Linked DNA regions of Cricetulus griseus. The protein of the gene in region 2 interacts with the protein of the main gene of each other region in a pairwise test. Links are inferred from orthologs where the notes say so. Each region holds a gene or a part of one and is shown on either strand. Other genes may lie near its edges.

Region 1 (6,495 bases), on a different chromosome or scaffold from region 2:
CCAAAGCCTTTAATCCCAGCACTTGGGAGGCAGAGGCAGGTGGATCTCAGTAGTGTAAGGACAGGCTGGTCTACAGAGGAAGTTTCAGCACAGCTAGGGCTACACAAAGAAACCTGTCTCAAAAAACCAAACCAAAACCCCAAACCAAAAAAAAACTGTTAGGGCTACAGCTGAGTAGTACAGCATTTGCCTAGAGTATGAGAGACCATGGGTGTAACGGTTGCCTGTACCCAGATACTCAGGAGAGACAGGAAAACTGCTTGTGAATGCATTAGTCCAAGGCCAGCATGTACCTATAATTGGGGGCTGAGAGGTGAGAGTATCAGTGGTTGCTCTTGCAGAGCACCTGTGTTTGATTCCAGGGAACTGATGCCTCTCTGGCCCACTGGAAAAACAAACATGTACATGGTATATAGACAGGGCCGCAAAATACTGATATACATAAAAATAAAAAACATTAAATCAAAACAACAAGAATTTGATTATGTAAACAGCAAAAAAAAATGTGTGTGTAGCAAGCACTCATAGATAATTTACTCATTTTGGTGTTTGAGACAAGGTCTGTGTAGCCCTGGGTGTCCTGGAACTTGCTATGCAGATCAGGCTGGCCTCGACTCACAGATCTACCTACCTCTGCCTCCCAATACCAGCAATTTATTTATTTATTTATTTATTTATTTATTTATTTATTTATTTATTGGTTTTTCGAGACAGGGTTTCCCTGTGGCTTTGGAGGCTGTCCTGGAACTAGCTCTTGTAGACCAGGCTGGTCTCGAACTCACAGAGATCCACCTGCCTCTACCTCCCAAGTGCTGGGATTAAAGGCATTCGTCACCACCGCCTGGCCACCAATTTATTTATTCAGTTATTTCCTACAATGTTTGATCATATTCCTGCCCAGTAACTTGCTTTTTTCTTCATTATTTGTTTGTTTTTCTTCTATGTGTATTGGCCTATCAATGTGTAGGTGTTAGATCCCTTGAAACTGGAGTTTATAGACAATTGTGGGTTTATAGCTGCCATGTGGGTGCTAGGAATTGGACCTGGGTCCTCTGCAAGAGCAGCTAGTGCTCTTAACTGCTGAGCCATCTCCAGCCCCCAGTCATTTGTTTTTGATGCCAGGGATTAAGCATAAACCTGGAGCATTCAGGCAAACATTCATACACATAAGAAGAATTTTAAGAAACAACAACAAAAAATCTTAAGCCATTTGGATGTCAGCCTTGTCTAACCCTCTTGCTAGTCCTTTTGGGTGGGGTTGTAACCCTGGCTGTCCTGGAATTCATTCTGTAGATCTGATTGGTCTTGAACTCTGCCTCCAAGTGCTAGGATTAAAGGTGTGCATCACCACTGCTCAGCTGCTAGTCTGTCAATTTTTTGTTTTGTTTTTGTTTTTCGAGACAGGGTTTCCTCTGTGTAGCTTTGGGGCCTGTCCTGGAACTCACTCTGGAGAATAGGCTGGCCTCGAACTCACAGAGATCTGCCTGCCTCTGCCTTTCGAGTGCTGGGATTAAAGGTGTGCGCCACCAACACCTGTTGTCTGTCAATTTTTTAAAGCAATAAACATTGGTTTATTAGTGAAAAGTGAACTCCTGAGAGTTGGAAGGGCTCAAAAGAGGAATAGTATTCTTGCTAACTTGAGAGTAGGTCAGCTGTGAGGACTTGTCAGATGATAGACTCACACAGGGTGTATCTTGTTAAGGACCATTCAACCAGTTAGTGTTAGAGACAGATCTTGAACTTTGATGGCATCTAGCTTAAACTGCCCTTATTAGTTAATCACTGCCCATAAGCCCTGGTATTAAAGGTGCCTGAGATTTCTGTGCGGGGCTCAGAGGCTAGCAGACTACAGGTGGTTCTGGTTTTCTTCATACTTTCCCCTTGCTTAAACTATAAAGGACTAGACAACTGGGACACATGTTCTGAGCTTCACAATGCCTTTTCTTTCAGACAAGTAAGCAGTTGGCGGCAGCGTTCCAAGAGGAGTTTACAGTGAGAGAGGACTTAATGGGCCTGGCAATTGGAACACATGGTGCCAACATCCAGCAGGCTCGAAAAGTGCCAGGAGTGACTGCCATTGAGTTGGGTGAAGAGACCTGCACTTTCCGAATCTATGGGGAGGTCAGCCAAAGATGGGTCATTTGTTCCTTTGGGGGACTGAGGGGATAGAGGGTAAGGTGGAAGGCTAATCTGAGCTATGGTGACCTCCCTGCCAAATATCGAATGGCAGAGAGATCCAGGTTCTGTTTTAGTTTACTCTTTGCTTTCTATAGACGCCTGAGGCATGCCGACAAGCTCGAAGCTACCTGGAATTTTCTGAGGACTCTGTACAAGTACCCAGGAACCTGGTTGGTGAGTTTGGGTGTGTGTATAAAAGGAATAGTTATGGCCAAGATGGCAGGACTTGAAAACAATTTTGGGCATCTAACTAGGATTAGTGCTACTCTGTGGACTTCATAAGTTTCAAAAGGATGGAATAAATAGTCTTGACATATGAATGAAAAAAAGGGGAATGATAAATTTGTAGGGATTGTAGATTGTAGCTTTTTTTTTTTTTTTTCCCTGTCTTTTTCCTCTTTCCAAGACAGGGTTTCACTCTTTACTTCAGCTTTGGCTGACCTGAAACTCACTTTGTGAACTTTGTGAACCAGGCTGACCTCCAACTCAGAGATCTGCCTGCCTCTACCTCCCAGGTCCTGGGATTAAAGGCGTGTTTCCACCGCTGCCCAATAGACTGTAGTTTTTTTTTTTGTTTTTTTTTTTTTTTCCTTCGAGACAGGGTTTCCCTGTGGCTTTGGAGGCTGTCCTGGAACTAGCTCTTGTAGATCAGGCTGGTCTCAAACTCACAGAGATCTGCCTGCTTCTGCCTCCCGAGTGCTGGGATTAAAGGTGTTCACTACCACCGCCTGTCGACCGTAGCTATAAGATTCCTAGAAGCAGGAGAATGAATAAGTACAATATATGTAGCGAGGTGGCTATAGAAGACTTTTACTTTTATTTCTTTGAAAATAACAAAAATTAAAAGCCCAATTCCTCTGTTATTCATTTAGGCAAAGTGATTGGAAAGAATGGGAAAGTGATCCAGGAGATTGTGGATAAGTCTGGTGTGGTGAGGGTTCGTGTTGAAGGTGATAACGACAAGAAGAACCCCCGGGAGGAGGTATGGGGCACAGAGGCCTAGAAATTGTTTTTCAGAAGTAGGAGGTACTTTCTTCTGAGGGCTGGGAACCTCTAGAGGGTGGAACACACAACCTTTCCTTTGCTGTGGTAGACTGATCCTGTTGTCTGTTTGAGGAGTGGGCTTAACATTTTAATCTTTTCCTTTCTGATTTTCTTTCTTTTTGAATAGGGGCTCACTGTATAGCTCTAGCTGGCCTGGACTTAATTTGTGAACCACACAGACCTTAAACTCAGTTCACAGAGATCTGCCTGCCAGTGTTGGGACTGAAGTCATGTGCCTCCGTGCCTGGCATTTGGTGGGGTGGGCATTGAGACAGAATTTCATGTAGCTTAGGTTGTGCTTAATTACCTTCACTGTGTAGCTGAGGGTGGCTTTGAATTCCTGCTCCTCCTGAGTGCTAAGATTGTGTGTATGCCATCATAGCTAACTGACTTGTAATCTTTCCTTTGTCTGTTCTCTAGGGAATGGTTCCCTTCATATTTGTTGGCACCCGAGAGAATATCAGCAATGCCCAGGCACTGCTAGAGTACCACCTCTCCTACCTTCAGGTACCCATGTTTGAAGCCATGCCAGACAAACTGGGGTAACAAGGGGCAAGAACTGCTGGTATATAATTTTTGGGGCTGTCCTACCTGGTTTGTCTTTTTGTAGAACAGGACTGTTGGTTGATATTTTGGCTCTGGGGCTGTGTCCTATTCTTTTTAAGTCTTTGTCTTCCTTTTTGTAGTCCCAGAAGCTTAGCTACACAGGGGCCATATGGGTAGAAAAGCATGAAGGAGTGGACTGTCCATCCATTTTAATTCTCCTGTGTTGTCTGTCTTTCCAACCAGGAGGTTGAACAGCTTCGCTTGGAGAGACTGCAAATTGATGAACAGCTTCGGCAGATTGGGCTGGGCTTCCGTCCTCCTGGGAGTGGACGGGGTGGTGGTGGTGGTGGCAGTGACAAGGCTGGCTATACCACAGATGAAAGCTCCTCTTCTTCCTTGCACACGACCCGAACATATGGGGGCAGCTATGGGGGCCGGGGCCGGGGCCGGAGGACTGGTGGCCCTGCCTATGGTGAGACAGCCGTGGGGGCAGTGGAGGAGGAGATGTTTGGGTGGAAACTTGGAAAGCTGTGGCTTGGGTGCTTGTGAGTGTAGGAGGTGGTGGACCCCTAGGGCAAGACCAGTATCTCTGAGTAAAGCCTTCTGTGCTGCCTGCCCTTCAGGCCCCAGCTCAGACCCATCCACGGCTTCTGAGACAGAGTCAGAAAAGAGAGAAGAGCTTCATAGAGCTGGACCCAGTGACCGAGATCGAGATCCCCCAAACCGTGGAGAAGAGAGCCGGAGGCGGCCGATTGGGGGCCGGGGAAGGGGACCCCCGCCTGTTCCCCGGCCTACCTCAAGATACAACTCGTCATCTATTAGCTCAGGTATCAGAGAGTTGGGGGTCATGTATGTGGGCCCAAAGGAGAAAATAGTGGTCACCTGACTCCAGTCCCTTTCCTGCCTCTCAGTGCTAAAGGATCCAGACAGTAACCCTTACAGCCTATTGGACACATCTGAACCAGAGCCCCCAGTTGATTCAGAGCCTGGTGAACCCCCTCCAGCAAGTGCCCGCCGTCGCCGTTCCCGCCGCCGTCGTACTGATGAAGACAGGACAGTCATGGATGGAGGCCTGGAATCGGATGGTCCTAACATGACAGAGAATGGCCTGGGTGAGGAGCGAGCGCGGTTCCTGGAGGTGGTGTGAGAAGAAAGAGTGAAGAAGGAGAGGATGGGTGTGTGACTTTTCTTTACTCCACAGAAGATGAATCAAGACCCCAGCGACGGAATCGAAGCCGCCGTCGCCGCAATCGTGGTAATCGAACTGATGGGTCCATCAGCGGAGACCGCCAACCAGGTCAGCTGACACTAGGGGATTAGAGCCTCTCTGCAGCTAAGAGTGGGGTGCCTCATGCTCAGGGTTGGGTTTAATGGGAACAGTGGAGATGGATACCTGTATTCCTGAAAGTCTTGATCCTCTCCTCCTTTCCTAGTGACTGTGGCAGACTACATCTCACGGGCAGAGTCTCAGAGCCGCCAGCGGCCACCTCTGGAACGCACGAAACCCTCAGAGGATTCTCTTTCAGGACAGAAGGTAGGCAGTTGCAATACAGCTTACCCCATTCTTTTTTTGGAGGGGGACATAGAAAACTTCCCTAGGAAATATGTGAGTTGTTGAATTGGCTGTGTCTGGGAGTTCAGGTTAAGCTGAGGATGGAGCAGAGCTGGCACTAACAGAAGGCAAGCCTCACAGCAATCAGAGCAAAGGGAGATAGATAGGGAACAGCCTCTGGTCGCCAGGTGTCTGTAGTGAGAAGGAATGCCTACACCTGGTGCACTGATGAACTGCTTTCTTTTTGTTCTCATCCTGTTTCCTCTTCAGGGCGACTCTGTCAGCAGGCTTCCCAAGGGCCCCTCGGAGAACGGGGAGCTCTCTGCCCCCTTGGAGTTGGGTAGCTTGGTGAATGGGGTTTCATAAACCTCCAGTCCACATCCCTCCTTTCTCCATCTCGCTTGCTGCCCACCACCATGACCCTCATGGGTCCAACTGACCTGCGCTGGAGCTGCTCTTATCTACGGGGGAGGGGGGTGGCACAGCAGCTTGGGTCCCCCCAATCTCCAGGAGCTAGTGGAGGGGTGTGTAACAGGGTCACCCCCTCCCTCTTGTCCACCCTTCACCCCCAGGGTGAGGGGAGCCTCCCCTTCCCTATCAGACTGGATGTGCCTTTATCCTCTAATGCCCCGACCTCTAAACACCCCCGTTCTCCGCCTGTTGGTGGGGGTGCTCCTTGACCCACCCAGATTTGACAGTTCAGGGGGGCTCCCCTGCTATCCCTCCTCCCATCCTGTACCCCCCATTTCTGGGGCCTCATCACTGTGGAAGACGGGGATAGTGAGGGTATTTGTGGGTGGGAGGCATGGGGAAGGTTTTGGAGTAGAACCAGGGGTGTGTATGAAGGGGGGTGACAAGGTCCCCCAGGGAGTTGGGGGGAACAACCTTGTCTGGTGGATAAGAAGGCGTATTTATTTTTCACTGTACAGTATTTAAAAAGAGAATAAAAAAATCCAATGGCCTTGTGGTTCCCATGTCTTCTTTGTCCCTAGTCTGGTCTGTTTGGATCTCTAGGACTGACCTGCACTGCTCCCTGGCTCTTGTTGTCTATTCTCTATTCTTAGTTTCTCATTCTGTGTCAGGAAGATGATGCATGGAAATTGCTGCATACTTAATTCTCCTTGCCCAGCTATTCTTCTGGTCCAGAGGACTAGACTCCAGGCCTTTCTGTTTCT
Region 2 (7,996 bases):
GTGTGGCAAAGTGTGATTAGCAAGATTTAGCAAACTATTTAAGAACCAGCTCAGAACTGGGAGCTTTAGAGTGTACCATGACCCTATGTGCTGGAGCTCTCCTCCACTAACCTGAAACAACCAGTCCATCAACCCAATACCACCGGGCCCTCAGGAGACTCGACAGCCTGAATCCAGAGGAACAGAAGTCTGGAGCCCGAACCTGCAGGCTGCTGCAGGAAAGGTGCCCCCTACTACAAGCCTATTGACTGTGGTTCTTAGGATGGTTTGCTTATGCTTGTGTGTTACTTTGACATAAGTGTGAAGTAAAACTTATATACTCAAAACCAACTCGCTGAGTTTGTCATTCCTCCCAGGTCAAAACCTGGTAGGGGCTAGAGACATTTCCCTTTCAAGGGAGCACCTGCCACCTGTTCATCCCTCCCCCCTTCCCCTTACCTACCCCTCCCTTTGTTCTCTTGGGTTTGTGGTTTGTGTTTCATGGCTTGCAGCTGCAGCAACATGATGACAATAAGTATACAGACCTAATGTGTGTGAGTGCACACACCTGTTTATGCACCTGTTTATATACACGTGTGGTTGTCTACATAACTAAAAAAAAATGTGTTAACCTGCACATAGCTGCCATGCAGATGCTGAGAACCAACCCTGGGTCCTCTAGAAGAGTAAAGTGCTTTTAACTGCTGAACTATCTCTCCAGGCCCTCTACCAATAAAAAAAAAAAAAAAAAAAAAAAAAAAAAAAAAAAAAAGTTCCTTAAATGTGTGTGGGGGTTTTGCTTTGTACCAGGTGCCTGCATTGGCAGTAGAGACCAGAAGGGCACATCAAATCCCCTGAAACTTGAGTTACAGCCATAACTAGAAGGGCAGTCAGTGCTCTTAGAAACTGCTGAGTCATCTCTTTAGACCCTTCCACCAAATATTTTGGGATAGGGTCTCTCACTGCACCTGGGCTAACTAATTGGCTAGACTGGCTGGCCAGGGGCGCCCAGGGCATCCTTATGTTTCCATCTCTTGGCTTTGGGATTATAGGCAACACAGTCATCCTGGCTTTACGTGGGTGCTGGGGAGCCTAACTCAGGACCCCATGCTTTAGTAGTAACATCACCCCAACCTCCTGGATTTCATTACAAAAGTAACACAATGTAGGAAAATTTGTGAAGAAGTACAAAGGAAAGTCAGACATGGAGACCCTTGTGTATAATTCCGGCCAAGCAGGAAGAGTCCTATGAGTTTGAGGCTAACCTGTGTTAAAGATCCCAATAGTCAAACAGAAAAAGGAGTCCCCAGTTGTTACAAACTTCTCTGTAGGTCTTTGTGTGTACTCTGCTTCTTTTTTCTCTTGTGATCACTTTACGTGGGTAGACAGCTAAGTACGAGTCTTTAGTCACAAAACTGGGCAGTTTTTAACTTATTTTGAGGCAGGGGCTTACTTTGTAATCCTTGCTGGCCCAGAACTTGCTCTGTAGACCAGACTGGCCTTGAAATCACAGATATCCACCTGCCTCTGTCTCCAGAGAGGGATTCAAGGTATGTGCCACCACCCCAGGCCTACAAAACCAGGCTTTATAAAAATATATACTTGTTTTAAAGGTGATGTGAAACTAATTTATATTATTTTCCACTTTGAAAAGTCTAGTAGGTGAAAGGTCCAGGGTTTATCCTCAGCTGACCTAGCCCAGTATGAAAAACTCAGGAGGGGGTAGGTAAAAGCTGTAGTGGAGCCCTTACTAAAAGGACTTGGCAGTTGACTGCAAGTTTAATATGAGTCAGTGGTGTGTCTGCCAAGAACCTCTTTTTTTTTTTCTTCCCTTTTTGTCTTTCCTCTTTGCTTGCCTTGCTTTTCCCTCTCCCTTTTTTGCTTCCTCTCTCCCTCTTCTTTTTCCTCTCATTATGTTGTTCAGGTTAGAATCAAGTTTTGAGCTCAAGCAAGCCTCGTGCCTGGATCCCAGTATCTCCACTAGCTAGGACTTCAGCCAAGCCAGCATACTCAGTATGCACCAGTAACTTTCCTGCACAAACGCAATGCTCCGTTACAAAGTAGAAGCCACAGTCCTGCTTGATTACGGTGGTATTACAAAACTCGACTTAGTCCTGGATAGAAGGGTTTAAAGGAATCACAATCAAACCAGCCAGTGCCCAAAGAGAAGGACAAAGAACTCCAGAATTAGGATAGAGGAAAAATAAAAACAATGGAAGGGATCAAGTATCCCAACTCAAAGAAGACTTTGGGCAAAGTCCGGGGTCCAAGAGCCATTAGATCAGTTTGTTCTCAGGCTTCCTGGGCTAGAATATGGTCTTTGAGATGGAACTCCAGAGCTGCCCAGACTAAGGAATGCAATGTTCTGGACATAGTGGACTCCCTGTCTTTGATGGGTCTTGTGGTGAAGTGAGGTAATGCGTGTCTATACAACCACTGCTCTTTGTTGTTTGCCACGAGCCAGAACTAAGCCTGGAGTCATACATTATTTCATTGCGGAGTCGTAGTATATTATTTTATTCTATTAGTATGGTCTTTGATAAGTTAACTCCGTGTAGTCAGATTCCTTGGTCAAGTTCACTCTGTTGGTAAGTGGTGAAACTAGGATTTGAACTCATTCTGATAAACCCCAAAGCTGGTCCCTTTGGTTACCACGGAGTTGAGTTCAAGGCTCTCTGGAGAGGGTTTGGCCAGGGAGGCCCTCAGGTTCATTTGTCTACAAGACTGGGCAGCTAGGCCTAGTAAGGGACACTCTTTCCACCTTCAGGAAAGCATCCGCAGAGTAGGCGGGGGCGGGGTAGCCAGCCCTCCGCTGAAGGGCGCAGGCAAATCGCCCAGCGGTGGTTACCCAAAGGAAAGGGTCAGGTTCTTTACGTGCATCACCCCCAGAGCTCGGAAGCACCGGGGTTCTGTGGTTACAAGTTCCCCGAGCCCTCCGAGGGTCTGAGGCAGGTCCTCCCTCCCTCCGGAGAGCATCAGCGGCGGCCGGCTTCTGCGGCAGAGCCCGAGTACGGAACAGAGCGCCGGTCCCTGGCCGGGCGCGAGCTGGGGGCGGCGCCGGGGCGGCGGGGGGGGGGGGAGGGCGCGCGCCGAGGCGGCTGCGCGGTTGCGCGCTAGGATTGCTGCGGTGCGGCGGGGCCGTGAGTGCGGCGACCCCGCGCGGGCGGGAGAGGGATTGGAGGCGGCGGGCGCGGGCGAGCGGACGGCGAGCGAGCGAGCTGGGCAGCATGCGCCGCTGAGCGCGCGACCCGCGGCCCTGCCGCCCGCCCGGGCGTCCCTTCCGCAGGGCCCCCCCCGGGCCCGGATCCGCGCGCGCGCGCGCCGGCCCGCGGCCTCAGCACCCCGGGGTGGCGCACGCCCCCGCCCCCGCCCCGAGCCCGCCCGCCCCGAGCCGCCCGCCCGCCAGCTCACCCGGCCGGCCGCAGCCCCTTCCCGCGCGGCGGCGACGCCCCCGGCCCACGTCACGCTCGCGCCATTGTTTCTCCGGCGGCGGCTCCCGGGACCCCGCCTTCTCACGGAGCGGGCCGGCGGCGCTGTCGGTCCCGTCGCCCGGCTCGGCGGGCAGCCTCGCCTCGGTTCTCCTCGCGGGGCGGGCGCGGGGCTTCTCCCGGGGGCTTCTCCCGAGGTTGCGAGCCTGGCGGGGTTTGGACCTGCCCGCCGAATGGCCTGCGAGCCTGGCAGTTCTGTGGTGTGCGGCACTTCCTGCAAAGCTCACGGCGTCTGCAAGTCGTCCCCCAAAGACGACTGGGGACGGTGTGTCCCTTGCCTGTTTCCTGGGCCCCCCGAAGCCCCTCGGGGCGACGTGGGGCCTGTTAGAGGAAGAACGTTTTTGGACGGTCGGCTTCGCCCGGCCGGCCGCGGCTTTTCCAGGCAGCAGGCGAAGGCTCGAGTCGGAGTTGTTTCACAGCCTGGGCGGTTGTGGCTGTGCTAACGCAGCGCTCTGGAATGACTAGTCACCAAACACGGTTGCGTGTGCCCCATCGTGTCCCTGCGCGCCGGTCCGCACATTGTTTCATAATGACCATAGACTATTAATTTTTCTTAGGGATGCAAATTCCTGTAGCCGGCATGTGAAGGGGAGGATGTTAAAACAGTGCCATTTATCGTAGACAGGAGAAGCTTCAGGTCTTTGCTGTAGTCACCTTACATTTTTCATCGATGCTTCAGAATTTATCCAAATGAAGACATCTGGGCTCGGGGGATCAGTTCAAGAAGCCAGCTAGTTCGAAATTAAAATAATAGTTTTGCGGGTGCCTTACAGTGGCAAAGTGATTATGCCACACATACTTTGTAAGAGCATTTCCATTACAGCACGAACCTGTTCTGTGGGCCTTAGACAGGCTGTGTATCCTAGTGATCTCGAACTGGGGATCTTTCTCTCAGCTTCCCTAAGTGCAGGTGTTAACAGGCCTGTTTCACCATGCCTGGGTTTGAAAATACTTTTATTGCTTCACATTTACTCAACGAAAGCAAAAGACAAATTCAGTAGTATTGGTTGTTGTATTATTCTCAACCTAGAATTTAGAACCAGCTAATCTGTAAAATAAGATAATGTCCTTCAAGGTTCTGTTCTATGAAAATGTACAGTCAGCCAGAAGTTTATAACTTCAAGAAGATTAATACAGATACTTAGAGTGTCTACTGGCCTTACTAGATGACATCTTGCTGAAGAAAGCCAGATTATGGGGGACTGTTAAGAAGTGGAGTGTTCTTTTATGTGACAAAACTTTGTTGTGTGAAGAAAGTAGTATACAAAATACGGTATTTAGAAAAAGTTGTTTATGTTATTGCTGTTTATTTGGGGTTTCCATGATATAGTATCTGCTATGCATTCCAGGTTGTCCTAAAAATCCTGCTTCAGCCTTCAGAGTACTGGGGGCACACACCACTTGGCCTGTGTCTAAGCCTTAGCATCTCAGTTTGGTGTGGTGGTACACTGGAGAGGCAGGAGCAGGTGGATCTTTGTGTTCAAGGCCAGCCTGGTCTGCAGAGCAAGTTCAAGACAGCCAGGACTACTATAGACCCTGTCTCAAAAAACAACAGCAGCAGCAGCAACAAAAAAGTCCAAAAATGATTTTTAAAAAAGTGTGTAAGATCTCAGCCAGGTGGTGGCGGTGCACACAATTAATCCCAGCGCTCAGTAGGCAGAGGCAGGAGGATCTCTTGTGAGTTCCAGGCCAGCCTGGTCTACAGAGAGAGCTTTAGAACAGTCTCCAAAGCTACAGAGAAACCCAGCCTTGAAAGACAAAACAACAACCGGGCATTGGTGGCGCATACCTTTCTTCCCAGTACTCGGGAGGCAGAGGCAGGCAGAGAGGCCAGTCTAGAGTTGAGTTCCAGCACAGCCCCCAAAGCCACAGAGAAACCCTGTCTCGAAAAAACAAAACAAAACAACACCAAAACCCTCTCTGCTGGGAACTGAGATGAATTCGGGGCTAAGCTTAGGCTACGCAAAAGCAGTCTACTATTGAACTGCATCCCAGCCTTTTTTATTTTACTTTGCGATAGAGCCTCATTAAGCCGCTCATTTTGTGCCACTCTTCCCCTGGCCCAGGACCCACCCACGCACCTTGAATTGGCTGTGAGTTTAGTCTGGCTTCCAGTTTGGGATCCTTGTACCTCAGCTCTTCAAAGTATGGGGATTATAGGCATGAGCCACCATGCTTGCCTGGGCTTGAAAAAAAAGGGGTTGTGTGTTAACAGCTTCACTGTTTCCAAAGGCTTAACTCAGTGAAAGCAAAACAAAAACAACCTGCTTAAATCTTATCATGGTATTTATGCTTAACGGTTTTTGTTTCTAGCTTTTTGAGATAAGGTCTCACTTTGTAGCATAGGCTGGCCTCAGACTAACATAAACTCCTCAAGTCCTTGGATTGTAAAGTGGGTCCCCATGGGTGATCTCAAATTTTATTTAGTGATGATTGCTGTGTATATACTGCTACTGGGCTGCCCACATTTCTAGGGACCTCATCTAGTGTTCATTTGTGGATGTTTTGAAACAGGCCGTTATGCATGGCAGTAGGCAGTGCCTGGCACACATGCTTCTAGTAAATTTTTGTTGATGTGATGTTTTTAGCTTTTATGACAACATCTACTAACATGAAATGTTAGCTATCACAAGGCATATGTTAAGTGACATGTCAGTAGCAAAACTGTATTTTCAGCCAGGAGACAGGCAGCCTTACATATATATTTTAGGGGCAGTAGTACGAGATAAAGCCAGAATGTTCTGGAAAGCTCTTTACAGGATAGTGCTACTTGGAGTCTTTGCAGCTAGAGCAGAATGAATAAAGAGAACCATTTATTTATTTATTGGTTTGGGTTGAGTTTTTTAGGTTCAAACCCAAATAAAGTTGGTAACAAATCTTCCTAGAGTACTAAAATGACCCTCTAAACATTTTTATTCCAGATTTATCCATATTTTATGTGTGTTTTGTTTTTATTCCAGATTTATCCATATTTTATGTGTGTTTTGCCTGTGTGTGTATATGTGCACCACTTGTGTTCCTGGTGCCTATCAGTATCAAAAGAGGGCATTGGTTCTGTAGTTGGAGTTGCATATGGGTTGTGAACCATGTGGGAGATGGGAATTGAACTCAGGTTCTCCCAAAGAACAAACAAATGTGCTTAGCCACTGAGCTATCTCTCCAGCTCCACTAAGTCTTAAATTACTTTTTTTTTTTTTTTTTTTTTTTTCTCGAGACAGGGTTTCTCTGTGTAGCTTTGGAGCCTAACCTGGCACTCACTCTGGAGACCAGGCTGGCCTAGAACTCATAGCGATTCGCCTGCCTCTGCCTCCGAGTGCCGCCAACTCCCGGCGGGGTCTCACTATCTTAAGCAGGACTGCGGCTCAGTAGTTTCTAGTCTCTTGCTTTAGCCTCTGCAGTGCTGGGATTACAGGTGAGGGCCAACATGACCTGTTTTATGTAACTTTTATTGATTGAAATTTGATTGTATCCTATAGCAATTGTTGCCAAAGTTTTTCAGAAAATAGCTAGCAACAAAAATGCAGCAACATTAACAGAAAAACCCCATAGTAGCAGAGTAGCAAAAATACTCCCCCTTTTTATGCTGAATACAGAATCAGAAAGATGAATTTGATTTGGAGACTAATGAACTATTTGTTTTACCATTAGTGTGTCTTTGCTGGCTGGGAACCATTTCCAGGAATGTCACATGAGAAAGCCTGTGTGACAGAATCTACTTGGGAAATATGGCACCTGAAACTTAATGTCTTTTTAAAAAAAAAAGTGAGGCCAGCAATGGTGAGAGCAGAAGACTGAGGTTTAAGGTCATTGGCTATTAATGGAGTTCAAAGCTAACCTAGGATTCCCCAGGCCCAGTCTCAAAAAAGCAAATAAGCATTTAAATCTTAGCATGTTTTCATTTGAAATGACAAGTGGAATGTACTTTTTTTGAGGTATAATTATTTAACGTTTCTTTTTTTTTTGTTGTTGTTGTTGAGAATTTCATATATGAGTACTGTATATAATCCTACTTTTACCCCCTCCTCCAGTGCACCTACTTTCTCAAATTCAGTCTCTTATTCTTTATTAGTGTTACATATATGTGTATATACGATTTAGAAATATAATCTGATGAGTTCATTTGGTATTGCTCATATCTGTATGTGCCTAGAGCTGACTACTTGGAATTGGATAACCTGTCAGGAAGCTCATCCCTAGAGAAGATGAATTCTGACTTTCTTAGCAACCATTAATTCCCTGTAGCACTTTATATTGGAGTGAGGCCTTGTGAGATTTCCCCCAAGTGTCGGCATGTCAGTTGGTAGTGATATTTTTCAGGCCTTATTGTTGAGTATTCATGGGTGCAGCTTTCCTGTCACATACAAAGATACTGACTCACAGCAAACATCATGGTCCTTTGGTTCTTAGAATTCCCTTCCAAAATATTCCCTGAGCCTTAGGTGTAGGGTTGTGTTGTAGATCCATTAGTTGGGCTGAGCACCCACACTCTGTTGTTCTCTGCATTTTGACCAGTTTTTGTGGCTTTCTGC
Region 3 (7,264 bases), on a different chromosome or scaffold from region 2:
CTAGAACATCCATGCCCAGTACCAGGACATCCCTGAGGATACGAAGAGAAAATAGCCACCTACAAGTCAAAAATACAGACCTCCAGGGGTGCCACACCTCCATCTCAGAACTGTGAGGAGTGATTTTTCTATTCTGAAAGCTGTTCAGTTCTTGGTGTTTATTTATCATGGAAGCCATTGCATTATAACTTTTTTGGTCCTTAGGAGTGATGTGTCAGTATGTTGCTAAATGGACTCCTTATTTTAATTTTGCTCTGCCCTCTTGGGGCTTTGCCCAGCTATCAGGCCCTGAAAATGTATAAGGCATTTTAATAGAGATTCTGTCACACCAGAAAAGTGTGTTGACACAGCTTCTCTTGAGAAATATTATAATTTGTGATGACTAACTCAAGAGAGGAAGATTTAGTCTTCCTCAGCAATGAGCTCCCTAATTGGTTATCCAATACCAAGTGGTCAACCCTGAAATCATATATATGCAGTCAACACCAAAGTAACTCAGCAGTTTGTATTTATGCATATATGTATATATGTAACTAAAGAAAAGAGTAAAATCTGAGAGCAGTTGGAGAGAGGCTGGAGGGAGGAGGAATGATATAATATTTTAATTAAAAAATTAAAAAAGAAATAACTTGGAATGCAGTTATTCCTTAAGATTGTGAGCCACTAAATGGAAAATCCGGTAATTTATTTGAAAACAATTTTGCATGCTTTATTTTCAATACCTGAAACCCTTGAACTGAAGTGCTTTCTCATCTGTACATATTTATTCCTTTTAAATAAAATATAAGTCATTTTATCATAAGCCCTGATAGAGTCCCTGCAGTACTGTTTTTCTCCGCAAACCTAGACATAATTAGTTTTTGGTTTTAGAGTAGCTATGTGGCATTAGACTGTCTGTTTTTTGCAAATACACCACTAATAAGTGCAGTGTATAATATGACTTTGAAATTTATGCTGGGCATGGTGCACCCTTTGTAAGCCCAGCGCTTAGAAGGTTAGAGGCGGGGAAGATGAGCAGACCCACTCCTTGGCTATAGGAGGCCCTGTCTCTAAAGAGTAAAATAAAATTTAAAATCCATAAAACAAAATTACATTAACTATATGAATGTTAAGGCTTTGTTATTTTCAGAACGCCTTTGATTTCTGTGTGAACCCAAAACACAGCAGTTAATTTCTCACATCTATAATTTGTTAATAGCAGTTTCATATTCATGAGTGTTTTTTATTTTTTTCAATAGTGCCTTGCCTATTTTGTAAGTTCAAATTATAAAACAAATCATTACATAGCCAATTGAATTATAACCTTTAGAAAGAAAATTGCTACCCAAGTTTTTGATAAAATATCTTTGATTGTCTGAGCTTCCCCCAAATGCATAGACAGAGCTCCTTTCGCTTTACCTGCTACTGTGTGTGTGCACCACTTCCCAGGATCATGTACAGATTATACACACTTCCCAGGATCATATACAGATTATATACACTTCCCAGGATCATATACAGATTATATACACTTCCCAGGATCATATACAGATAGGATCATATACAGATTATATACACTTCCCAGGATTATATATGGATTATATGCACCTCCCAGGATTATATGCAAGTGGGAGAGGGTGCACAGGAAGTATCTAGTGACTGGAATCTCAGATGAGGAACTGATGACCCTCCTTGCATGCTCCTTCCATGAGGGAATGTCAACAGGGTCCTCATGATGCTTGAGTAATCCCAGCTGCTCTGGCTAAAGTAGAAATGGCTGTTGTGTGGAAGCAGTGTTCTATAACCAACCTCCTTCCGATTTAGTCTCTTCAAGGTCTTAGTGAGTGAGTGAGCCTGAATTCCAATTTACCACCACCCAAAATAAAACAATTTAAAAAACAATATTTTTGATACAATGGAATGTTTGAATATTTTCTATAAAGTATTTCTGAGAGAAACTGAACTATTCAATGAAGAGTTAGTGAACAATTAGTCCTGTAACCACCAGGCACATTATAGAACAAACTCGAGGTTTCTATATGTACTAGTAGAACCAGTTTCTGCTTGAGTTCTCCTGCAAGGCCAGAACTGGGGAAAGAGCTGGGAAGTGCAAAGTGCAGTGCTGCGTTTGGCTCAGTCACGTGACAAGATCCATAATGTTATGCTAGTCGTGGATATCCTCTGGAACTCAATTTCGTTATCTATAAAATGAAGGCCTTGAATAAAGTGGTACTCAGCATTGATATCACTTAGAAAGTGATAGACTTGACTCAATGAAGTTGAAAAGTAAAATTTAAAAGTTTTGAAAATGAGTGTGGTCTGGGAGTGTGTGAGTGTGTGTGTGTGTGTGTGTGAGAGAGAGAGAGAGAGAGAGAGAGAGAGAGAGAGAGAGAGAGAGAGAGAGAGAATATCAGGCTGTCTTTTAGTTTCTGTTGTTTTAACATAATATGTGAGGAGACTGGGTATCTTATAAAGAAGATATATTTATTTGGCTTATTGTTCTGAGTGTTGAAAATTCAAAGAACATGTCATGAGCATCTTTGTTCCATAGTGGATGATCAAAAAGGATGAGTGGGGGAGTTCCCTTTGTAACAACTCATTCCCAAAGCAGCACCGATTCATTAATGTGCAACCTGTGAACATCTCTAAAGTTCTAAGGCTTACTGCTATCACATTGGAAATTAACTTTCAAAAGGGGGTTGGTAGAGACATGCGAACCTCAGCAAAACCCAAGTCTAGATGTCCTGTCTTTATGTCCCCAAATGCGTGTGAGAAGAAAGAAGGGGCAGGGTGTGTGCTTCACAAGGGAATCAGGAGGTAGAAAGTAAACCAAGTTTGAGTACAGTTTGCTCTCAGAGTACCTCTCTACCTCATAAAGGAAGGAGTACTGGCTTGAGAGTTATTTTTCTGCATCTGTGGGTAGCAATTCCATGATTTTTACAAAAGATTTCCTTATTTATTGCATGTGTATGAGTGCTCCATCTGTTTGTACACCTACATGCCAGAAGAGGTCATTAGATCCCACTATAGATGGCTGTGAGCCACCATGTATGTGCTGGGAATTGAATTCAGGACCTCTAGAAGAGCAGGTAGTGACCCATCTCTCCAGCGCTCCATGATTGCTTTTATGGTTTTTTGTTTTTTTAAAAAAATTTCCATTGAGGTGAATCATGGTTATTTAAGAAATTGGCTCCCTTTTCAAGATAACAGGCAGGAGACTTCTTTGTGTGTAGTTTGTATTGCAAACTCTAACTCAAAACTCTAAGAGGCCATACCTAAGAGCTTCAGAATACTTAAAACTTTTGGAAATAGTGGAGATCATTCTTGTCAGTCTTCTGTTTGGTGCTTATTTATCAGAGAGTAATACATGGAAGGCCTGGCTTACTTCTGTTTCTCAGAGGTGACTGCTTTTGTAGAAACAGTAGGGTCTTTTTTTTTTTTTTTCTCTAAAATGATACTGCTGTAAAATGACTAAGGAGAGAAGGAACATTTACCACATCAGTGACAATAATCTATATTTGCTAAATCCCCAAGTTTGGGATATGAAAATCTGTAGCATTGGAGACCTTTGATAGCTTATGACAGTTTTTAAGTAAACTTGACTTCAGAACAACTGTGTTCTGTATGTTGTTAAAGGAGTCATATCAGGAGCTCATGTTCCAAGATTGCTGACTATATTAGGACACTGAATGGCCATGAAACAAAGATTAAGTGCACCTTTGAAAGACCCAAGGGTATTTGACCAGAAACCAGCAGGACAGATTTCTAAGAAGAATAATTCATTACAATAGCAAAGATTGGCTTGTGTCAGTATTTGGAAATCCTCATTTTCTTTTTCTATGACTTACAGGAGTGCTTATGTGCTATATGACAGTGATAAAATTCTTTTCTTCACAGAATCAGAGTGAGAGGTTTGCTTTCCTTACAGAGTGGTACGATCCCAACGCCTCACTGCTCCGACGCTACGAGCTTCTGTTTTACCCCGCAGATGGAACTGTTGAAATGGTAAATGAGGGCTAGGACCATGGCTCAGTTGGCAAAGTGCTGGCTGTGCAAGCCTGAGGACCTGAGTCTGATGCTCAGCGGCCGGGAAAAGTCAAGCAAGGTGGTGCCTTCCTGTAATCCAGCACTGTGTAATTCCCGTAGAGATGTGGTGGGCCTTACTGGCTCGATGGTCTAGCTGACTGGGTAAGCCCCAGGTTCAGTGAGAGGTCCTGTCTCAAAAGCTAAGGTGAAGCAGGAGTGGTGCTGCACATCTTTAATCAAGTACTCAGGAGGCAGAAGCCTGGCCAGTACTTGGTTGAGGCCAGCTTGGTTTACCTAGCAAGTTCCAGGCCAGCTCGGGCTACATAGTGAGACTCTGTCTTAAAACAAAACCAAAAAAACCTCCCCCAAACAAAAAAGGAAACAAATAAAAGTAAGGTGTACAGCTCCTGAGAACAAGACCTGAAGTTCACCTTTGGCTTCCAGGCGAGTTCATGGAAGTCTGCTCAGACATACGAGCTAACACACTGACAAATAGCCTTTGCTTGCTTAAAAATTAGCAAAATTATTTTTATGGGACAAGGAGAAGAATAAGACTGCCTTTGGTATGGTTGATTTTGATTTTGCAATTGAAGATAAATTTTTTTCTTTGTAAGTTGAAAATAGATTTTTTTCATACAATATTTTCTGATTACAGTTTCCCCTCTCCCAACTCCTTCCAAATTTTCCCAACTTCCCCATCACACCCTGTCTTTCTTTCTTCATTAGAATATAAACAGGCATCTAAGAAACTAAATAAAAACAAATCATAATACAACAAAACAAACAGAAAAAAAAGCCTAAGAAAAAAAGCACAAGAAACACACATAGACATTGAGATACACACAGGTGGCCAGCTTGCAAGGCACACTGGTGTAATAGTGGCACAAAGGTGTGGGAGTAATCAACTACTATCTGAAGATGTATTTTTATTGGAATTCTTTTTTCTTAGTGTTCATTAATATATCAAGATAGCTTTCTGCTGGTATTTTTTTCTGAGTTATGAGGTTGACAGGATTTTACCACATAATCCAGAATAGCTTCTCCTTTGCAATCCTGCCTCATCTCAGCTGGGGTTATAAATGTGCACCTTCGCACCCAACCTTGTTGGAGATGTCTAACCAAATTATTTCACAAGTTTTGACATTAAAAATATAGGAACAGCTTAAACTTAGTGACATTTCACTATAATTTCAATACTTAGGAGGCTGAGGCAGCAGAATCACAAGTTCAAGGTCAGCCTGAGCTGTATAGCAAGACGTCTTCTCAAAACAAGCTAAGCAACCTAGAGAGATCTCTTAGTGGGTAATAACACTGGCTGTGAAAGCATAAAGGTCTGAGCTTGAACATTAAGCACCTACATAATAGCTGGGCCTTATTCCATGTGATGGATGCCAATATTGAGTAGCAGAGACAGGCAGCTCCTCTGAGCTCTCTGGCCATCGAGCCTAGCTTAAACAGCAAACTTCACTTTCAGTGAGAGACCCTGTGTCAATAGAGTAAGGTGGGAAATGACAGAGGAAGACACCAGACAACTTCATCGGTTATATGTGTAGTCAAAAGTAAAAGGGTATAGCTATCTACCTCCCAGTAAGGTTAACATTCTTTACTTATATTTTTCATTGTGTTTGGTCCTAGCATGATGTAAAGAATCGTCGTACCTTCTTAAAGCGGACCAAGTATGACGACCTGCGCGTGGAAGATTTGTTTATAGGCAACAAAGTGAATGTCTTTTCTCGACAACTGCTGTTGATTGACTATGGGGACCAATACACAGCTCGCCAGCTGGGCAGTAGGAAAGAGAAGTAAGAAAACAATTATGTCATCTTTTCCATTGAATCATTCATTATGTGGGACTTTGGCTACTAATTTCTGATTTGCTGTTTCTTGATTGTGTTTTCACAGCATACCTTTTTTTCCAGTGACCCAATATAATGTTATAACATTCTTTTTTGAATAGTTTGCAACTGATCTAGGATTTGTTTATGATTAGAATAACAAAATGATTATCTGTAGTCTTGGGAGGTGAATATTTTGGGGGGGGAGGGGAATGAGAAGTTTTTTACACACTATCTTTTTTGTTGTTTTTTTGTTGTTGTTGTTTCTCACTAAAGCCTAAGACTATTTTGAGAAGGATAAACTCTTCTTCCAATGGATAGGAATGGCTTTGGGAGAGAGGAAGCAATGATGCATGAATCAATGTAAACTCGGAAGACAATGAAGTTTTTCTTGCGAAACTGAGGGCTTTGTGGAGTCGTTTGGTCTTGATGATTAAAGACAGATTGAATTATCACCCAGTTAGATGAGCTGGGGTCAAATGCTAGCCAAAGGAATGAGTGTAAAGAAAGATGCAAAGGTGGGAAATCCTAGCTTAAGTTGAGAAGAACTATTATTCTGCTTGAATAAGATGGTGGCTGAAACTTATAAAAGTTTAATTACTAAAATAATGATCTGAATAATTATGGTAATAATAGGTATGAATAGGAAATAAAAAGTGTATGTGGTTAATTGAAATGGAGTAATGAAGGCTGGGATGTAGCTTAGTTGGTAGAATGTCTAGAATGGATAAAGCCCTGAAGGCCTGGGTTTGAGCCCCAGCACTGTGTGAAACTGGGGGCAGTGGCCTATGTTTGTCTTCCCAGCACTTGGGAAGTAGAGGTTGGAGCATTCGAGTTCAAGGTCATATGAGGTTATGTACGGAGGCTCAGGTCAACTTGTATGAGATCCCAACTTATAAAAATAAAATGAGATGGGCAATGGTGGCACACACCTTTAATCTCAGCACTCAGGAGGCAGAGGCAGGTGGATCTCTGGGTGTAAGGCCAGCCTTGCTTACAGAGTTCCAAGATGGCCAGGACAGTTAAGCAAACAAATCCTGTCTCAAACAAACAAATAAATAAAGCTCAGAGACCGTCCAAGTCAAGAATGCAATCGTTAGAAACATCTGGGGTGAAGGTGGATGAGAAGCTGCCTCAAGGTGATGCACTAAGTGAATCAAGCCAAGAGAACAAAGGATTGCCTCTGTTCCAAAGACAGGAAGATCTGGACAACATCAGAAATCACAGAGAGAGAGATAGCTTGTTGGGGGAAATTTATTCAGCTACAAAGAGTGAAATTCTGACATCTGCAAAAAGAGGATAGAATTGGAGGTCATTATGGCAAGTGAAGTAAGCTAGACTGATGATGGATATCATATGCTTTCTTTAAAATGTGGAAGATAGACAGATAGATAGATGATAGAGTGTAGAAAGGAAACTATGGA
Region 4 (7,264 bases), on a different chromosome or scaffold from region 2:
TTCTATCTCAATTCTTATCTACCTGTCCAGGATGATTGTCATGCATGTGTCTGGGTTATCATGAAGCTAGTCAAAGTTTAGGTCTAAACACCTAACACATGCAGTCCTCTGCAGTGAAGACTGTGGACACTGTCCTAAGACATGCAGTGTGCTGCTATGGAGACTGTGGGTTGACACTGTCCTAAGACATGCAGTTCTCTGCAGTGAAGACTGTGGATGCTGTCCTAAGACATGCAGTCCAGTGCAGTGGAGATTGTCCTACATAACTTTCTGATTGAATGCAATGAGTGAAGCTTATCTTTCATTACCTGGGAACTTAGACTGAAAGAACAAATGGAGTTAATGATTGAGGAAAAGGGAATTTCAAATTCTTTCTTCCTACCCTACAAGCTAGATAAAGTTGTTCTTCATTAAAACGTTCTCCCTTCTTCCAAAAGCATTTCTCCCCACTGGCAGCTGAGTACCCTAGCTGACCTGTTCCTGGGAGGGCATCTTCTGATGCAGTGAACTTCTTCTCCATGGCCTGCTCTCTCCATCAGCCTTCATTTGCTTGTTAGTGCCCCTGTGCTGTTGAAGAATAAACTTGAAATTCTTCATTATGCTGAACAGTTGAGTGGTGTCTCTCACACAGGCCCAAAGGCAAGTCAAACTGCAAAGGAACCTGTACTTTGGATTTTAGAATTTGATTTGAAATCCCAGCCCCACTGTTGTGTAAAACTACAACCCATACTTCAGAGCCTCTGTTACTCATCTGTGAAATAGGAATAATGAAAGGAATAATGAAACTATGTCACAGGTAAAGATGACATAGTCAACCTTCTGCAGTTTGTCTCATTTGTCTTAGAGGGAGTCCAGTCATATGTATGGGACACTCTTCCGAAGATTCTGGGTCCTCTCTCAACATTCAGTGGTGGTTTAGTGGCCCCATTTTAACATTTAAAGCTCTAAAACTCAAGTAGCTGCCCCTGCCCCATCTTTGCCCTGGGTTTACCTCATCTCTGAATCATGGCACCTGTTGCCACACCATTCAGCCACTATACTGCATCCACATTCTCTCTGGGTTTGTTCAATGTGTTGACTTTGACTTTCAAGAAAAGCTGGTATCCATACAGGGACCTGGAGAGGCAGATCCCATCACAACTGACTGCCAGACAGATTCCATCTCTCCTATTTTGACCAGGAGGGAGGAGGATACCAGGAGATTCCTCTGACAGAACATCTCACAGCAGATAAGTTCCCTAGGTCCCTGTAGAGATAAGAACAGCAAAAACCCAGGCTTCCGAGGACCTGGGGCATCCTTATGGCAAACCTCTACCATGACCTGGAAGCTGGTGGTTATACCTGTCCTCTCTGGACAAGGAAATGTTCCTTGTAACAGTGACCAGATGCCAGAGAGATGGGGTAATCCCCCCACTATGTTCTAGGCACTATAGGAAGACCTTACACATTGTGACACCTTCCCCACCACGTAAGGAAAGCCTTGCTCTGACCCCTCCTATAGAATCGAGAAACCAAAAGTTAAATAACTGGCCCTGATATAGAGCTGATGAAGGGGACTGAGCAGGAATTCAAACAGTCTGTTTATCTTTGAAGTTCATTACAATGGACTTTCTATTCATGGCAGGGTAAATAGCAAGAGTGTAAGTAGCTTTTCAGAGAGAGACGAAGTGCCATCCATCCTGCTGCCTGATGCCTCAATCCCGCTGGACGTTGTGGCTGGGAAATTTGAGGGACTCTTCCAGCCACCTCCCCTTTCTCCATTATGAAAGCATAGCCCCTCAAAGAGATGGAGTGGAGTGAGTGGTGCTGTGCTGTCTGTGAATTGTCCGCCTTGGAGGCAACACCTTGGGAAACACTTCCAATCAAAATTTGCAAATGGGTAGCTTTGTGGGATGCATCTAATGCAGAGAGGTGTTTTGTTTCAGCAGCAAGAATTTTTAAAACTTCAGATTACTTGTTAACTTTTTTTTTTTTTTTGGTTTTTCGAGACAGGGTTTCTCTGTGTAGCTTTGGAGCCTGTCCTGGCACTCGCTCTGGAGACCAGGCTGGCCTGGAACTCACAGAGATCCACCTGCCTCCCGAGTGCTGGGATTAAAGGCGTGCGCCACCAACACCCGGCTTACTTGTTAACCTTTTTTAAAAGACAATGGGTTTACACGATTTCCGAAATTACCTTGAAAAACCCAAAGTTCTGATACCCTGTGTCTCCATCCCGCTCTGGCCCCTGGTGGCTGGAGTGGAGCACTTGGCCCTGGAAGTGGGACAGTGCTTTTTAATCTGCTACCATCCTTTTTCCCTTGGGTTCTCTGTGCTGGTAAGAAGTACCAGGTTCCCCTCCCCACCACAGCTTCCCCCAGACACCATTTTTCTCCTCTTGGAGGTAAGGGTGGAAAAGATCCTTCCTAGTGGCTTCATACCTTTTTCTTTTTGTTCCTCTAGGCGTTCCCTTCCCAAAGAACTTCCTTCAGATCTGCAAGAAGATCCTGTGCCGTCTTTTCCGAGTCTTCGTCCATGTCTACATTCACCACTTTGACCGGGTCATTGTGATGGGTGCAGAGGCTCATGTCAACACCTGCTACAAACACTTCTATTACTTTGTCACAGAGATGAACCTCATAGACCGCAAGGAGCTGGAGCCCTTGGTAAGTGTCTCGGCAGCATAGCACCATACGCTGTGAGAACTACGGAAAGCTGGGGGGTAAGATGGAGCTGCAGAATTAGACAGGGCACAGTGATCGGCAAAGGACTGGGATGCATCAAAATGTCTACTGCAACCAGGTAAGTGTTTGAAGTTGCTCTCCAGGAGGTGAGATTGTTAGACCCGAGAAAACTCAAGTATCCGGGGTCCCAGGCCACGTTCGCGGTCACCCCAATCACCAGGCGGATTCGAGAGCTCGCTGCAAACTGCACGAGGCTTTATTGTAATTTAACGAGCTAACCCCATGTTAGCTCGGGTCTTTCACCCACCCACCACGGTCTTTCACCCACCCACCACGGCGGATGGCTCGCAAAAGACGGCTCCTAGGGGCTCCCGAAAGATCTTATAGGGCAGCGTAAGGGGAGTGTCTAGGGGTACGCACAGGCTCACGATTGGTGTGCTTCCAGGCTTGGAGGGCTTGCCCTGTGTTGATTGGTCAACTGGTTGTTATGGCCCATAGGCCCTCCCAGGGTGGTTGCTACGCGCTTGTCCGTAAAGCACACCCAGGGTCGTAAAGCATAGCGCCACCAGCTAACTTCTGATTGGTTCCTTGTCATGAGGCAGGCATCTGACTTTCTAGTTTCTAGGACAAGGTCATAGAAGCACGCGTTCGGCCATTATGGCTACCAAAAGGGAAGCTGGTCCCTTCAAGATAATGTGGTGACATTATTCCTACATAATGATTTGGGCCAGGGAAGCTAGATTTAATGCACAACACTGAAAAAGAAAATCATTTTGTCAATTTCTTAGAGACATCCTCTCCCTGGATTTTGTTTGGTTTTGGTTTGGTTCTTTGAGACAGGGTTTCTCTGTGTAGCCCTGGTTGACCCAGAACTTGATCTGTAGACCAGGCTGGCCTCGAACTCAGAGATTTGCTGGCCTCTGCCTCCCAAGTGCTAGGATTAAAGGTGTGCACTACCACTGCACAGCTGAGACACTTCTTTGATCTATCACTATTAGTCAGTGATGGTCAGAAACATTTATTTCCTTAGTCAGTAAGTAACCATTTAACACCCACTGTATGTCAGCTGCTCAGCACACAGAGAGAAGCAAGTCCTAAGGAAGAGCTCTGTGTCATGGGAAATTTGCTATTTATATTGAATCACCTGGGTAAAGCCATCATAGGTATATCATTTGAGAGTAAGAACATTTGAGATTAAGCTGTAACTTTGTTATATTGACGAGTGGAGTATGAGTTCATTTTATTGTTTTCAAAAGAGATTTATTTTTATTTTGTGTATGCTTGTTTTGCCTGCATGTATGTTTGTATACCATGTATGCATGCAGTGCCTATGGAGGCCAGAAGAGGGTCTCAGATCTCCTGGAACTGGAGTTACAGGTGGAGCTGCCATGTGGGTGCTGGGAATCGAACCTGAGTCCTCTGAAAGACCAGCAGGTGCTCTTAACAACTGGACTCTCCCTCTATCCCCTGCTTTTATTTTCACTGTTGGCTTTAGTATGTGCTTCAATCAAGGTCTCTGAAAACCTTTGTAACAGGTTCACTGTAATGAGGATGCTTGCCTCACAGCTGTCCCCAGTGAGTACCTTTCTACCCGGTAGGATACATTGCTTTATGAAGTCATGGTTTCTTTTTCCTTAAGAAAGTTAAAGTGTAGTTTTGCTAAATATAGTTGGTGAAGTAAGTTTCATCCAAGTCATTTTGAATATTGACTAAAATACAGGGCCTAGCTATCTGCTCTACTATGTACCCTTGTTTCCTTGTCTATACAATTGAAATAATGTTTTATTATTATTTGGGTACCTGATGTCTACAGCTCATATAACTACCACTGAAAAGATACTGTGTTATATTCACATATCCCTACAGTGAGATCTGAGCCCAGCTATGTGAAGAAGCAGCAGATCAGGGAGGAACCAGAGTGGACAGAGAAACGGTCATAGAGTATACTCATTGGGAGGCTGTCAGCAGGCTTGCAGCACACGGGCTGTTCCAGTCTTCTGTTACTATGGCCTGCCATCTTTGTTCTGATAACCTAACGTGGGAGGTGGTTGGCTATGGGCTCTAGATTGTCTGGCTGGGTTATACTGGCTGTGTGTGAATAAGACATGAGTAAACAGTTTGCCACCTCAGATATTAACTAGCTGGTGTGGTGTATGGGGGATCCCACTCAGGGTCAGCAAGGTCCCAGGGATTAAAGAAGCAAAATGCAAAACATAAAGATTAAAATATAAAAGACATTAGCTATACATATACTGCATCTATACCTATTAAAGAATATGTTGGTGAATCTTATGTTACCTTTAGGAATTTAATTCATGGTCTACAATTGCACCAATGGAATACACAGCAGTTTGTTTTGCATACCATTGTGATGTCTCTCACATCATTGGTTAAAGAATAAGTGGTATCTTCACTTTCTTTCCATTAGGTTCGTAGAAAGAATTTGGGGACAGCCCCAAGTAATCTCTGAGCATCACTGTAAGACTCACATGGCAAGAAACTTAAAGGCACTGGTGGTGGGTTTGTTAGTCTGTTCTGTACAAAGACTGCTTGAGAGTGTAAATAACCACCATGAGAGTAAAGGCTGTACAAACAACTCAGGGGAGTGTAAACACTGGAAACTGTTGATAAAGCTAATCTCAGAAAATGTCAAGGACAGTGGAAAGAGAGGGCCTTTAAGTGAAGAGATACAAAGCACTTCTGTTGGGCCATGGAGTCAAGTTCCCATCGGAGTCATGCCCAGGTAGATGGAACAAGTCCCCAGAGGCCACCAGAAGTAAGAGCTCCACTAGATGCTCACACTTTCAGTGTTGCTGAGTTAGCAAATAAACATTAGCTGGATAGGGCTGAGCCTCAAGTCGTCCTTTATACACAGCCACATAATGGCTATTGTGGGGGGAAAGCCCGGGGCTAAGTCAGCCTTTCTTTGCTAGCTTAAAACTCTATGTTGTGTTCTGTTACTGAAGAAAGGCCCCAGGAGCTGGAGCACCTGGTAGTGCCGGGAGCTGCCTTGCAGTCCCAGCCTCACTGCCAGGCCCTGAATAAGCCAATATTCTACTAAGAAGTTCTGTTGGGGGCCTGGAAGAAAATCCATGATTATCCTCACTGGGAATTGTTAGCAGTGGAAGTGACAAGAGAAGTATTGGGTACCCTCCCTCCAAGTTTGTATTTCTTTAACTCGTACTTAGATTTGTTTTCTTCCCACATTGATGTTTTGTTGATCATGGTGACCGGAAAATCAATTGTAATAGGTAGTAGTAAGTAGTCTTAAAATAATTATGTGAAATTATGCGTTTGGCTTGGTTATACAAACTCAAACCTGTAAATCACAGGACTGGATACTGTGACTGTTTCTGGGATAATGATCACATGATGGCCAGGCACGGCGATACATGCATGTAATCCCAACACTCGCATGCTCGGGAGGACTGCTGCAATTCTGAGTCTATCCTGATCTGCACAGACAGTTCCAGGCCAGTCAGGGCTCCTTAGAGAGAACCAGCCCCAAAATAGTAACACCAGGGGCTGGAGAGATGGCTCAGCTGTTCAGAGCATGGACTGCTCTCCCTGAGAACCCTGGTTTGATCCCAGGACCTTCTTGGCAATTCACAGCTGTCTGTGACACCAGTTCCAGGAACCTGGACAACCTCTTCTGGTTTTTGTGGGCACTAAGTATGTACACGGTGCACAGACATGCAGGCAGGGAAAATACCCATACACATAGAATAAAATAATTTTAAAAACCCACAACAGTTATACGGTGCCAGGCCCAAGGGCTTAGCATATCCAGTGTCACTAAGAGTGTTGTACCTGTGGATTGGCACTAATGATATTGTGTTCATTGATATCTCAATATTAGACTCTGTGTCTAATGTTGCAAAGTTGCAAAGAACATATTGCAGTCAGAGCTAGCATAGCAAATCAGTACACTTAAATTTGTATTTTCTTACATTAATTTATTGTGGGGGGAGTATGCTTAGGTTTAGATGTGCATTTGTTTACGTACTTGCAGCTGCACACAAGTGTACACACATGTCGGGGGCAGAGAACAACTGTGGGAGTCAGTTCTCTCCTTTCATTACAGGGTCCCTGGATCAGGACATCTAGCCTGGTGGCAGAGGCCTTTACCCGCTGAGCCAAAATCCATGTAGTTTTTATTTTGTATAGTCTAACTACTCCATATGATCAAAGCAAATTGTTCAAATATTATGTTTTATAGAAGAGAGCTATGTTTGGGGAAAACTTACAACACAGCCCAGAAAATATGCAATAATGAGTATCTTTTTCATCCCCAAAGGATGAACAGTCAGGACTTTGCCTTCAAATTCTGGTCATTCATTCTTCATAGTGTAATGCAGCCAGAGGTCAAAGGGCAGCATTTGTTCAGCCAATTTCCTTCAAAACAGCAGCATTCCCACAAGTCCCCTACCATCCGTGGGCCATTCCTGGAGTCATGCTTGGAATTCCACAGTGTAGAACTTGGAGCCTCACCTAGATCTTCCTCTCCCATCTACCATGTACAACCAGTCCTCCATGTCAAAGGTCATATGATTGCATTGGAGCAGTGCTGGCTGAGCATCTGGCACATGGGTTATCTGCAGGAT

The links.
Region 1: the proteins of Nt5c2 (region 2) and Fxr2 interact in binary tests that used the Homo sapiens proteins (3 or more experiments, as listed by UniProt). The two-hybrid records come from large-scale screens. The link is inferred for Cricetulus griseus from reciprocal best matches to the Homo sapiens genes NT5C2 and FXR2.
Region 3: the proteins of Nt5c2 (region 2) and Nme7 interact in binary tests that used the Homo sapiens proteins (3 or more experiments, as listed by UniProt). The two-hybrid records come from large-scale screens. The link is inferred for Cricetulus griseus from reciprocal best matches to the Homo sapiens genes NT5C2 and NME7.
Region 4: the proteins of Nt5c2 (region 2) and Mob3b interact in binary tests that used the Homo sapiens proteins (3 or more experiments, as listed by UniProt). The two-hybrid records come from large-scale screens. The link is inferred for Cricetulus griseus from reciprocal best matches to the Homo sapiens genes NT5C2 and MOB3B.

The regions. Positions count from the first base shown.
Region 1 is NC_048600.1:83,492,357-83,498,851, forward strand, and holds the end of Fxr2 (fragile X mental retardation syndrome-related protein 2), read left to right. Parts: intron 1-1,950; coding exon 1,951-2,121; intron 2,122-2,273; coding exon 2,274-2,352; intron 2,353-3,050; coding exon 3,051-3,160; intron 3,161-3,642; coding exon 3,643-3,729; intron 3,730-4,011; coding exon 4,012-4,240; intron 4,241-4,391; coding exon 4,392-4,595; intron 4,596-4,679; coding exon 4,680-4,880; intron 4,881-4,969; coding exon 4,970-5,065; intron 5,066-5,201; coding exon 5,202-5,302; intron 5,303-5,590; coding exon 5,591-5,686; 3' UTR 5,687-6,281; downstream 6,282-6,495. UniProt on the Homo sapiens protein: mRNA-binding protein that acts as a regulator of mRNAs translation and/or stability, and which is required for adult hippocampal neurogenesis. Specifically binds to AU-rich elements (AREs) in the 3'-UTR of target mRNAs.
Region 2 is NC_048596.1:14,585,398-14,593,393, forward strand, and holds the start of Nt5c2 (cytosolic purine 5'-nucleotidase), read left to right. Parts: upstream 1-3,060; 5' UTR 3,061-3,119; intron 3,120-7,996. UniProt on the Homo sapiens protein: Broad specificity cytosolic 5'-nucleotidase that catalyzes the dephosphorylation of 6-hydroxypurine nucleoside 5'-monophosphates.
Region 3 is NC_048598.1:28,013,213-28,020,476, reverse strand, and holds part of Nme7 (nucleoside diphosphate kinase 7), read left to right. Parts: intron 1-4; exon of another isoform or gene 5-112; intron 113-3,876; coding exon 3,877-3,984; intron 3,985-5,640; coding exon 5,641-5,807; intron 5,808-7,264. UniProt on the Homo sapiens protein: Possesses an intrinsic kinase activity. Displays 3'-5' exonuclease activity with a preference for single-stranded DNA. Does not seem to have nucleoside diphosphate kinase activity.
Region 4 is NC_048595.1:107,012,513-107,019,776, forward strand, and holds part of Mob3b (MOB kinase activator 3B), read left to right. Parts: intron 1-2,439; coding exon 2,440-2,642; intron 2,643-7,264. UniProt on the Homo sapiens protein: Modulates LATS1 expression in the Hippo signaling pathway which plays a pivotal role in organ size control and tumor suppression by restricting proliferation and promoting apoptosis.